Kluyveromyces lactis: one gene and its partners. The protein of the gene in region 1 purifies or fractionates together with the protein of each later gene. This does not show direct contact. Links are inferred from orthologs where the notes say so. Each region holds a gene or a part of one and is shown in the gene's direction. Other genes may lie near its edges.

The links.
Region 2: the proteins of KLLA0_F13618g (region 1) and LSP1 purify together in Saccharomyces cerevisiae (affinity purification with mass spectrometry, with the first as the bait; 4 studies listed by BioGRID). This does not show direct contact. The link is inferred for Kluyveromyces lactis from reciprocal best matches to the Saccharomyces cerevisiae genes SEG1 and LSP1.
Region 3: the proteins of KLLA0_F13618g (region 1) and KLLA0_D16236g purify together in Saccharomyces cerevisiae (affinity purification with mass spectrometry; 3 studies listed by BioGRID). This does not show direct contact. The link is inferred for Kluyveromyces lactis from reciprocal best matches to the Saccharomyces cerevisiae genes SEG1 and YGR130C.

Annotation. Positions count from the first base shown.
Region 1 is NC_006042.1:1,261,129-1,265,225, forward strand, and holds KLLA0_F13618g (uncharacterized protein), read left to right. Parts: upstream 1-1,179; coding exon 1,180-3,447; downstream 3,448-4,097. Other genes in the region: glutamine--fructose-6-phosphate transaminase (isomerizing) GFA1, read left to right, coding at 1-730; aspartate transaminase AAT1, read right to left, coding at 3,653-4,097.
Region 2 is NC_006041.1:1,271,551-1,274,413, forward strand, and holds LSP1 (lipid-binding protein LSP1), read left to right. Parts: upstream 1-1,396; coding exon 1,397-2,353; downstream 2,354-2,863. Other genes in the region: ULA1 (Ula1p), read right to left, coding at 1-604. UniProt on the Saccharomyces cerevisiae protein: Together with PIL1, main component of eisosomes, structures at the cell periphery underneath the plasma membrane that mark the site of endocytosis.
Region 3 is NC_006040.1:1,366,455-1,370,831, reverse strand, and holds KLLA0_D16236g (uncharacterized protein), read left to right. Parts: upstream 1-1,498; coding exon 1,499-4,114; downstream 4,115-4,377. Other genes in the region: KLLA0_D16280g (MARVEL domain-containing protein), read right to left, coding at 1-40.

The DNA of each region.
Region 1 (4,097 bases):
GGGTATCGTGAACAGTGTTGGTTCTTCCATTTCTAGAAGTACTCACTGCGGTGTCCACATCAATGCTGGTCCAGAAATCGGTGTTGCATCAACAAAAGCTTATACATCACAATATATTGCATTAGTAATGGTGGCTCTTTCTCTATCAGACGATAGAGTCTCCAAGATCGAAAGAAGAAACGAGATCATCCAAGGTTTGAAATTGATTCCAGGTCAAATCAAAGAAGTCTTGAACGTGGAACCAAGGATCAAAGAACTTTGTGCTAAAGAATTGAAGGATCAGAAATCTTTACTTCTATTAGGTAGAGGTTACCAATTCGCAAGTGCCTTGGAAGGTGCATTGAAGATCAAAGAAATCTCTTACATGCATTCAGAAGGTGTGCTTGCTGGTGAATTGAAACACGGTGTTCTAGCATTAGTCGACGAAGATTTACCAATCATCGCTTTCGGTACCAGAGATTCCCTATTCCCAAAGGTCCTTTCCTCAATCGAACAAGTGATAGCCAGAAAGGGTCATCCAATCATTATCTGCAACGAAAACGATGAAGTTTGGCAAAACAAGGCCAAGGCCAACAATTTGATTACTTTGGAAGTTCCACAAACTGTCGACTGTCTACAAGGTCTATTGAACATTATCCCATTACAATTGACCTCATATTGGTTGGCAGTCAACAACGGTATCGACGTCGATTTCCCAAGAAACTTGGCTAAATCCGTGACTGTCGAGTAAGAAAGGCTCTATCTTTTTCTCATTTTGCGTACAGTTTATCTAATTTTTCTAGTTTGTCCGATACATTCTCCACATATATAATTAACAAACCCGTCAGATCAATTCCGTTCCCCTCCTACCTACTATTAACATTGTAACACCAATGGTAACCCTCTTGTCTCTTGTTTTCATACCTTTAGGTCCGATTTGGTCTTATTTCGGTTTCTTTTCGAATGATTGATACCTTGAGATAAAAACAGAAAAAAAAAAAGGGCAAAACATTCAAATCGAACTTTAAGTGCCGAACATCAACAGAAATAACGAAAGCAAAGGCACGTAAAATACCATTACTGTTTGTTAGAGGGCACTAGAACAGGTGTAATTCGTGTATCAGTCAGCTGAAAGTATATATTAAGTGGAATTGGTTCAAGAGAGGGATTAAAGAAGCTGCTGTTGCTTTTATAAAAAAAATGTTTCGTTCTAGAAAGTCAAGAGAATCGCGTTCTATTGATCCTGGTGCTTTGGTTGCTGCAAACACCATTGGGAAGGCACTGGTACCTTCTAAGGATTCGTTTGGGGGCCAGGTTGTAGATAAGAGTAAGATTCCCAGGTATAACAGTATAAGTGGCCGTTCCTACTCGATGGTAAACAGTCCCAAACCAAGTTCTCGTCGGAACTCTGTGAGACATGCTAGTGATACTGGAGATCGTTCTTCCAGGTATGGCTCGATGCGTTCCGTACAGAGTGGTAACAGGGTTGCTCAAAGCGATGCAGACAAGGTTTTCCATGAGTTTGGTGGTAATGAGGCCAAATATGTGCTAGGACCCAGTGGTCTGGTACGTGTTGATAATGACAATAATGAGCCTAAAATGGTATCTAGATACATTCCTAGCAGCCATGGGTTGGTCAAAGTCGAAGTTCCTTTGGAACAGTACGAGGCTGAGAGGAGAAACAGTCTTAGAAGGTCGACTTCTTTACGTGGTGGGATGACTGTAAGAAACTCACTTTCTAATAAAAGGAGTCATGCCTCTTTAAGAGCAAACTCAATTGGACATAGAACACCTTCTGGAACCCCATTGAAAAAACTTACAGAAGTTCCTACCGTTGAAGAAAAAAAAGCGGATATTACTCATTATAGGTCTTCGCCATCACCGGTGCCTAGAATCACAAAGACTGTCTATGCAACTACAGCCAAAGAAACATCAGCTCCAGTCGAAGAATTCAAACCCCCATCCTTCGGTAACGGTACTGCATTACCACAGACTCCTGAAAGAGCTATCACTAAAGATTTGATAGACTCAGCGACAGAAGAAGAACAGCCAAAAATTCATACTGATCTAAGCGTTACCAAAGAAGCTGTTGAACAAAAGATCGACCTTGATTCAAAGCAAGTGGTAGAAGAAGAACACGTTATTCTTACACATCAGAAGGAAGTTACTTCTTTGCCAGATGAAACGATTAATGCCGAGAAGGAAACTGACAAGGAATCTCTCAAAAAAGCAGAGCATAACACATCTAAAGTAGATATTCCGGATTCAAAAGAAAAGGCTCTTCCTGGCAACGATGGTGTCCAGGAAACTATAGTTGAAAAAGTGGTTGATGAAGAGGAACATCAAATTGAAGTTCAAGATCCTATCGTTGCTGAACGTCAATCAGAATCTCAACCGGAGTCCCAACCGGAGTCCCAACCGGAGACAGGCAAAAGCACCCTCGCTCAGTATATCAGGTCCGCTAATCCAGAACTCCAGAGAGTTAATGAGGAGGATGCTCTTGTTACCCCTAAGATTCCATTAGAAAAGACTCCTTCACCTATAAAATCCGCAATGAAGAAAACAAACCACAACAGCCAACAACTTCAACAACAATCTCAAGCTTCAAGCGCATATCTGTCTTTAACAACAAAGGAAAACACTAGGTTAAATGCGCAACTTTCTCACGAAAGTTTGAGAGAAACCGCCAGCAAACAACAAGCACAAAATCAATACCGAAGACAGCAACAGCAAAACCAGCAGCCTCTAGCTCCTAAGAGAAATTCTCAAAGACCGCAATCAATGATGGCTCAAAGAGTTAATGGTGATAGACGTTCTTTCATGCAGAATAATTCCGGTGTTGCTTCCCCTCGCGATGCTAGACCTAGAAGTGTCGTAGGGAAGCCGTCCAACAATGCCAAATCGCAACAAAATAGTGGACTTTACCCAAGGGAACCTCCTCAAAAGCGTTCAAGCTTCGAAAAGCAAAGACCGATGTCCACCAACCTTGGATTTAAAAACTTATCGTTGAGAGAGGATCCGCAACTCACTGACCAGTACGAGCAGCCTCAAGCCCCATTCCAACCACATCCACAACAAAGACAATCTAGAAACTCAACCCCTGTTAAAAGTGGAGTAACGTACAATGGTGTACAGTATGTCTCCGGATCAGTACCACTGCCTGCTTCCAATACCAACAATAACAAACCAAAAGCGTCGTCAATTGCTCATGGATTCAAATCAAGATTTGCCGACTCTGATTCGGACGAAGAATCCGCAAACCTACAGTTCAGCAACCAAGGGAGTCGATCTACTCAAGTTTCAAGCGAATATGAACCGGCACCTCCTCCACCCGCGCCATACAATCCTCATGCTACTTTGAGACCTCAGCCAGAGCCTCAAATAAACGCAACTCACACTACTGAGAAGAAAAAGAAGAACAACTTCAGCAGTAAACTAAAGAAGCTTTTCGGTAACAAGAAACACTGAAAAGTAGCGACTAATATAACACGAAACACATGTAATGGGCATTTATAATCCCTTTTGTATTCTAGTTACCCAAAAATTGTGATTAAGAACACTAAAAACTATCTAATGTACAATTCAAACCGAAGCTTTGTAGTAATAAATAAATAAATAAATAAAGTGAAATTAATTAAAGTCAATTTGATGATATTGAAACATCTTGATGTGATTATTGAACCACTTGGCGCAAAGAATCGCATAAATAATCAATATTACCGTCGTTAACTCCAGATAACGACATCCTGCCGTCTTCAGTTAAATAAATACCGTACCTCTCCTGCAGAATTTGAACCTGATATGGGTTTAACCCTGTGTAATAAAACATCCCATGTTGTGTTTTAAAATCAACAAGATTGGGCCAATTCAATCTCTCATGCATTTGAATTCTAACGTTCCATAGTCTATCAGACATATTCTTAACGTCTACGAACCATTGCTGCTTCAATTTTGGATTGCTTAGCACCAAGTTCGCTACACGAGACCCATATCCCGGTGGAGAAGAGTATATACCTCTTACAATCTTCTTTAGTTGAGAGTCGATGGTTGATTTGAGATCCAAGGGATTTGGTGGGACAACGACACTTAACGAACCTACACGTTCACCGTATAAGCCC
Region 2 (2,863 bases), on another chromosome or scaffold:
AATCGAAAGTGAAATGTCCATGAGAATCAATGACACAATGAGGTTCACTGCCTATAAGACGAACAAATCCCAAGTTATCGTTGGTGGATGCCATTATCAGAGGAACTGCTGAGAGTTTCATGACACGTTGTAACAACGGACCAGCCGTGCACAAACATATGACAATAGAGAAAGAGTTCCATAACTTATGTTGTGAATCAATTGGAACTGCATTCTCGTTCCAAATATGGAACGTAACATCTGGATTCATACTTTCTAACGCATCAAAACCTAAAATATCCGAGTTTGACTTGTTCACAAAATCTGATCCATTAGACGAGCCAAAAACTACAGTAATCTCATGAATACCCATGAGAGCCAAACTCTTGACACATTCTCGCATCAACAATGTCTGATTATCGTCTACAACGCACACATGAGACTGAGAAAGTAAATCCTGGCCTGAATGGCCCCAGATCATCAACTGTCGATCATAACGGTCATCCAAACCACCATTTATCTGATCAGCCATAACCTGTACCAACGCCCTTGGTCCTTGATCTTTAACACTAGTTCTAATGCAAGAGAGCCCGCCTTGATTGGAATCAAATGACGTATTTATCATGAGATGAGCTTAAAAGTTCAAGCGAATCAGTTGGATTACCAAAGTTCAAGCTAGATCAACTGCATACCGTTACCCGGACGAGTACTTCAGCATTACCCTAAAACTTCATAAGAGACTCTAAAGAGCCAACATAAGGCCGGCAATACACTGTTAGTTCGTCATTTCCTGGCCCTGTTTTTGCTACGGCTATATCATAAACCAACACCACCATCACCAGACAAAGCGGAAGCAGGAAGTACTATAATATCATCCACCTACATACGATTCTTTCCAGTCTCGAATGATAAGCCGAAAAGAAGAGTCGAACAAAAGTTTCTGAAGAAACCAACATAGAGAACCGTGCCCGCAATTTGCAAAGAAGAGAAAAATTGCGTGGCTCATGCCATGTCAATGTCCCTAGAGAAAGTAAGTGTGGGTCATGTTCTGTTTCTCTTTCTCTTTCTATGCATTTTTTTTTTTTATTTGGGAATAACTGAAAAGGGCAATAGGCAGTAAAAAAATAATCAGAGTTTCTTGGCCTGGGACAGAACCTTTTTTGCTATCTACATATAACTTTCCTCTATATAAAGTAATTGATTATCTTTCTACCTGTCTTGTTTTCTGACGGATTAATTTTAGGGGTCTTACGCAGGTATATCAAGTAAACTTCGATACATAGTTTAATCTAGTTGAATCGAAATTTTTTTTGGGCCAATTTACTCTTCTAGTGCTGCTTTTAGATTAAGAAATAGGGGAAACAGAAAATATTCGATATCAAGAAGTTAAATTAAATACCGATACTAGTCTCCAAAAATGCACAGAACTTACTCTTTGAGAAATAAGAAGGCTCCTACAGCTTCAGAGCTCCAAACTCCAGCTCCACCACAATCTACTACCAAGTCTAAGTTTTTTGGTAAGGGTTCTTTTGCCTCCAGTATCAGAAAGAATACTGCTGGTCAGTTCGGCCCATTGTTATCTAGAAAGCTATCCTCTTTAATTAAGACCGAAAAGGGTTACTTGAGAGCTTTAGAAGTTGTTGCTAGTGAACGTCGTGTTGCTGCTAAACAATTGTCTCTATGGGGTTCTGAAAATGACGATGACGTGTCTGACGTGACTGACAAGCTAGGCGTTCTTATCTATGAACTGGCTGAATTGCAAGACCAATTCATTGACAAGTATGACCAATACAGAATTACTTTGAAATCTATCAGAAACATTGAAGCTTCTGTGCAACCATCAAGAGACCGTAAGCAAAAGATTACTGATGAGATTGCTCACTTGAAGTACAAGGACCCTCAATCCACCAAGATCCCAGTTTTGGAGCAAGAATTGGTTCGTGCTGAAGCCGAATCGTTGGTTGCTGAAGCCCAATTGTCTAACATTACCAGAGAAAGATTAAAGGCTGCTTTCAATTATCAATTCGACTCTGTGAGAGAATTAGCTGAGAAATTCGCATTAATCGCTGGTTACGGTAAGGCCTTACTAGAACTATTGGACGATTCTCCAGTGACTCCTGGAGAAGCTAGAGCCGCTTACGATGGTTACGAAGCTTCAAGACAAATCATCATGGATGCCGAATCAGCTTTGGAATCCTGGACCTTGGATGTCGCTGCTATCAAGCCAACTTTGTCCTTCCACCAAACAGTCGATGATGTTTACGTCGATGAAGATGGCGAGGAAGGTGAAGCCTTAGCTGCTGAAGAAGAGTGGGCTGGTGAACATGAAGGTGGCCAAGAAGAAGAAGCTGTTGAGACTACTGAAGTTAAATAAGCTCTCGCGATCACATGCGTTAGTTTATTTTACCAATGCCGCTACACTCACTTCTTTAAAAATGTATGTGGCTAGCGTATATTGGAATGATTTATTGTAGAATCAAATACTCGTTCCTGCCGTGTACGTGCCCTCTTTAACTTTTAAAAATGAATTTTTCCAGAGAGCTCGCAATGTTACTGTGTGACAGGTAAAACGGTAGTATGTGAAGTCCGTTATACCATTGCTACTCTCATATTCTATGTAATAAAACATTTCTATATCTCTTTTAAGTAACACTAACTTCTAATATCGTGCTGAGTTAATAACAGCCATTGGAATTCGGTCGTAATATCGATCAATCTGTTTTGAATTTTCCTGCTGGCTTCTCTAGGTATGAATAAAAACGGCCAATAAATCACAGGAAATAACACTCGAAAAGTCTTTGGATTTAGTGGAAAGTTCGAGCTAGCAAGGATAAGATACGGAACAACGTGATAATTGATTCAAGTATCCTTTTTAGAAACATAA
Region 3 (4,377 bases), on another chromosome or scaffold:
AGTTAACACCACGAAGCGAATTGTCTAAGATTGAAAGCATTTTCTATTTTTTTTTCTTATATTAGAGTTTTGGTTTAATTTCAGCTTGAGAGATTTCTTTTACCAACTTTTTATCAAGCAAGCAATCAAATTCGAACTTAATTTATCTTTTATTGATGTAAAGACTTAAACCTTAATTGATAACAGAAGTATTATTAATTAAACAATAATAGTATTATTTTATATATTAAGTAAAAGAGTGAAGGAAAGAAGTAAAGTAAGAACCAGAAAAAATTTATAATTTGTTTCCCTTATTTATTAAAGGATAGAACCATACAATATATGTAATCATTTCCGGATTGAAATATTTCTTCCTTAAACTTTTACCCTTTATATACCTGCACTCAAAAAACTCTGTATAACTAATACCATTTAACAGAAAGAGGCAAAAACAATAACAAATGCAAAAGACAACAGTTTCTTCTCTTCTCATTACCAAGAAATGGTTTTTTTTTTTGTTTTTTTTCCGTGCTTATACTTCTTCATTCAGTTCTTTCAGAATAAAACGTAATTGCATCTGTCTCTACTAGACCCAATTGTTCTGCCGAAAGCAACCAGAGAGACCTAGAATTGAAACTGGAACCTCTGGATATCTCTCTGGATATCCCTCTGTATCGAATAGAAATAAAGAAGTGCCTCATTCATAGCTTTTAGTTTCAGTCTCTGCTCTTCCGTAGTACCTGCAATTCTAGCGGTAAGGTTTTTGTTTGTTCCAGCGTTTTCCAGTTTCATAACAAACCAAAACAAACGAACAATTGACAGCAATCTCAGACCCGGGCGCAGTATCTCAATGTCTTCTCGGCTTGAAAACAGCAAAACAAATAAAAAAAAAAAAAACTTTCTGTGATGACATGGAAAAAAAAAAGAGGGAAAACCTTGAATTCGCTCAGATGCCGGTGCAGCGACGAGTAAGAAATAGGGGAACATGCATTACCCGGTATTAGACATCGCTACGGCAGAACCATTCAGGTTTCCTGCCGAAGATGAGAAAAGCATACGTCTTTTGTTTTAGGGGAGGCAGGGTAATGTAAACAAAACCGTCCCCTGGGTCCCTCTTTTTGTTTCTTTTTTTTTTGTTAGTTTGCTTATTTCCGTTGTCCAGTGTGGGGGGGCCGAGGCCATACAAAAAATGAGTGGTTCTCCGTGCGTTTTTTGCGCTTGCTATTGCTGTTTGCTCTAAGAGCAAAATGGGATGACCTTGGCGATTTACATGCGAGAATATGAGGTCCCTTCAAAATTTCCAATGTGATATCGGTGTTACCCGGCTTTCTTTAGTTAGCCGCGTGTTACCCTGTCGGATCTCCCTTTTTTTCCTCCCTTTTCATTTATTATACCTCCTTTATATAAATAAAGGAAGGAAGTTTCTTTGCATATAAACAACGACAGCGATTAGACGCTGATCCTGATTTAGTTTGGAACGCACACAGCAGCATCCTATCCCATAGAACTCCAGTTAATAATGGTCGGTTTGAACTTGTTTAGGAAACGGAACGAAATTGACCCCTTTGCAGGGTTGCTCGATGACGCGGACCATGCCGCCGAACAGCAACAACAGCATGATCTTACCAACAGTAACAGTATTTTGAAGCGAGTTACCACGAAACAACAGCAGCACCAGGAAGAACTAGATGATAATGAGTACCATTCTCCCTTCCGTACGGCGGAAGAAACTCAACGTGCGCGTCAAGTGAGACAGGAGAAGTTCCCTACTCTGAGCCAAGGTGCGGTACAACTTGACCCGGAACAGATGGGGTACAGCGTTGTTACCGACAAGTCAGTGAAGAAGGCCAAGGATATTATTATTCCTTCTGGGTTGAAGGATACCGAGGCTGAGCAGAAGGTTAGATTGACTGCGTTGGAAAAGAAGGAGAAACAGTTACGTTATTGGAGAAAGTCTCAAAAGATTGTGGATTTAACCAAGCCACAGGAAGCAATTGAAGCGTCGGATAACTTGGACGAACTGGATGAGGTGGACCCTAGTAAGGAACCTCCCATTGAAGATGTAGCTGAAGCTCTAGAAGAAGCCGAGGCTATGGCTGAAGACGATGAAGAGGAACCAGTTGATCCGAAACGCGAGCCAAAGCCTGAGGCCGCGCTGAGGGCTTTTGAAGAAGCTGAGGCAATTGTTCAGGACGACGAGGAGCCTCCAGTGGATCCTGAAGCCGAGCCATCAGCAGCAGTTGCTGTTGAAGCTCTTGAAGAAGCAGAAGCCATTGCGCAGGGCCAAGTTCCTCCAAGAGTCCCGTTGGCTGAAGAAGAAGAACAAGAAAATCCAACCGGTGTTTACAAGGCCCCGGAAGATGATGCTAATGAATACGTCGATCCATCTCGTGAGGCTAGACCAGAATCGGCTGTAAGAGCCTTCGAAGAAGCCGAGGCTATTGTCCAGGATGACGAGGAGGAACCGGTCGATCCTAAACGCGAACCAAAACCTGAGGCCGCTGTGAGAGCGTTCGAAGAAGCCGAGGCGATTGTCCAGGACAATGAGGAGCCTCCAGTGGATCCTGAAGCCGAACCTTCCCCGGAAGAAGCTGTTGAGGCATTCCAAGAGGCCGAAGCTATCGCAACTGAGAACCCAGAAGCTATTTCTCCTCCACCAGATATCAATTCTGCCCCTCGTGTTCCATTCACACCCAGTGGCGCCAATAAGGCCGGTACTGCTGCAGCTACTTCTGGAATTGCAGCTTCAGGCTTATTTGCCCTTTTCAAACGTTCGAAGAAACCAGAGTCCTCGACCAAAGTTGCTGCAAATGCCGCTGCTGGCACCGTTGTTCCAGGCGATGATGCGCCAGTGGCCACCCCTGAAGATCCAGAGTTAATTGTCAGAACACAAGAAGGCTACGTCTCGAAGTCTGTTTACGATAAGTTGCAATACGACGAGGACCAGCACCAAGCCAAGTTGGCCCTGTACTCCAAGGAACAAGATGAAAGGTATGAAACTAAAGCCCAAGAGTACGAGGAAAAGATCCAATCAATTCAAGCTGAAATTGCTGAATTGGACGCGCAAATGGAACAGGTTAGATTGGAACATGAGGAAAAGTTGAAGTTGAAGCAAGTTGAGAAATCTCAAGCATTACTAGAAACTAACGTCAAGCACATTAACGCCAAGGGTGATCTGTACAAGCAAACTGAAGAAATCAAGAACCAAACCATCTCAGATAAAGAGGACAAAGAAGTTGCTCACCAAACTGTCCAATCTGAAATTGATGAATTGTTGTTGTTGAAAGATGAAGTTGCCAAGGAAAACCAGGAACACGAATCGAAGGTCGAAGAGTTGACAGCAGAATTGGATAATAAGACATCTGCATTGAATGAATCCTTGGCTAAGAAGGATGAAACTAATGCTGAAATTCAAGCTTTGGAAGAAGAGAAGGCCAGATTGGAACAAGAAATTAAAGAAGCTCAAGAACTTCACCAACAAAACGTCTCCAAGATCGAAAGTATCGACAACAAGGAGTACTTACCTAAGGTCAATGAAATTAATACCGAAATTTCTTCACTACTTGCTTCGTTAGGTTTAATTCAACAAGAAATTGCCAACCAAAAGGTCGAGTTTTCTAGTGTTACTAGGAGATTGGAGGAAGAGCGTAAACAACATGAAGAACAATTGCTAAAAGAAAAAGAGGAACGTGAGCGTTTAGAAAAGGAGCGTTTAGAAAAGCAACGTACCGAGTACGAAAAGCAAGCTGAAGAAGCTCGTTTGAAGCACGAAGAAGAGCTGGCTAACCTGAAGCAAACTCACGACGAGGCGCTGAAGGAGGCACAGTTGCAACGTGAAGCTGCGGCCAAACAACTTGAAGAAGAACAACAGAGACGTGAACAAGTAGAACGTGAAAGAACTCGTCTACAAGGTGAAAAGGCTATTGAAGCACAACAACGAGGTAATCCCGAAGACAAGAGACTGGAAGCTGAACACGAAGAAAAGTTGAGAAGGCAAGCAGAAGCTGCCAGTGCAGTCGAAAATGCCCTGAAGAGTAGCAACAAAAAAACGAAAGCAGCTGTTCCACCTGCAAACACCACAAATTCTTCTCTATATGACTACGAAACCGTTGAAGAAGTCATAACTGTTGATTGAATAACAAAAGAGATCTTAAAACGAAATAACATTAAACATTGGACTTTGTAATTTCTAAAATATGTCGTTTCTAATTTATATTGATTTATCATTCTACTTCTTTATCCATTAGATAAAGTTGTGCACGAAGGGGATAGCCAATGTACTCCTTGTCTTGTCCCACTTCAGTCTTTCTTGTTTGATATAAATAAAGCGGACTTTTGAGAAGTTTTTTTTTTTTTTATTTTTTGGAATGAAATTTCATGAACAATCATCGATTTTAT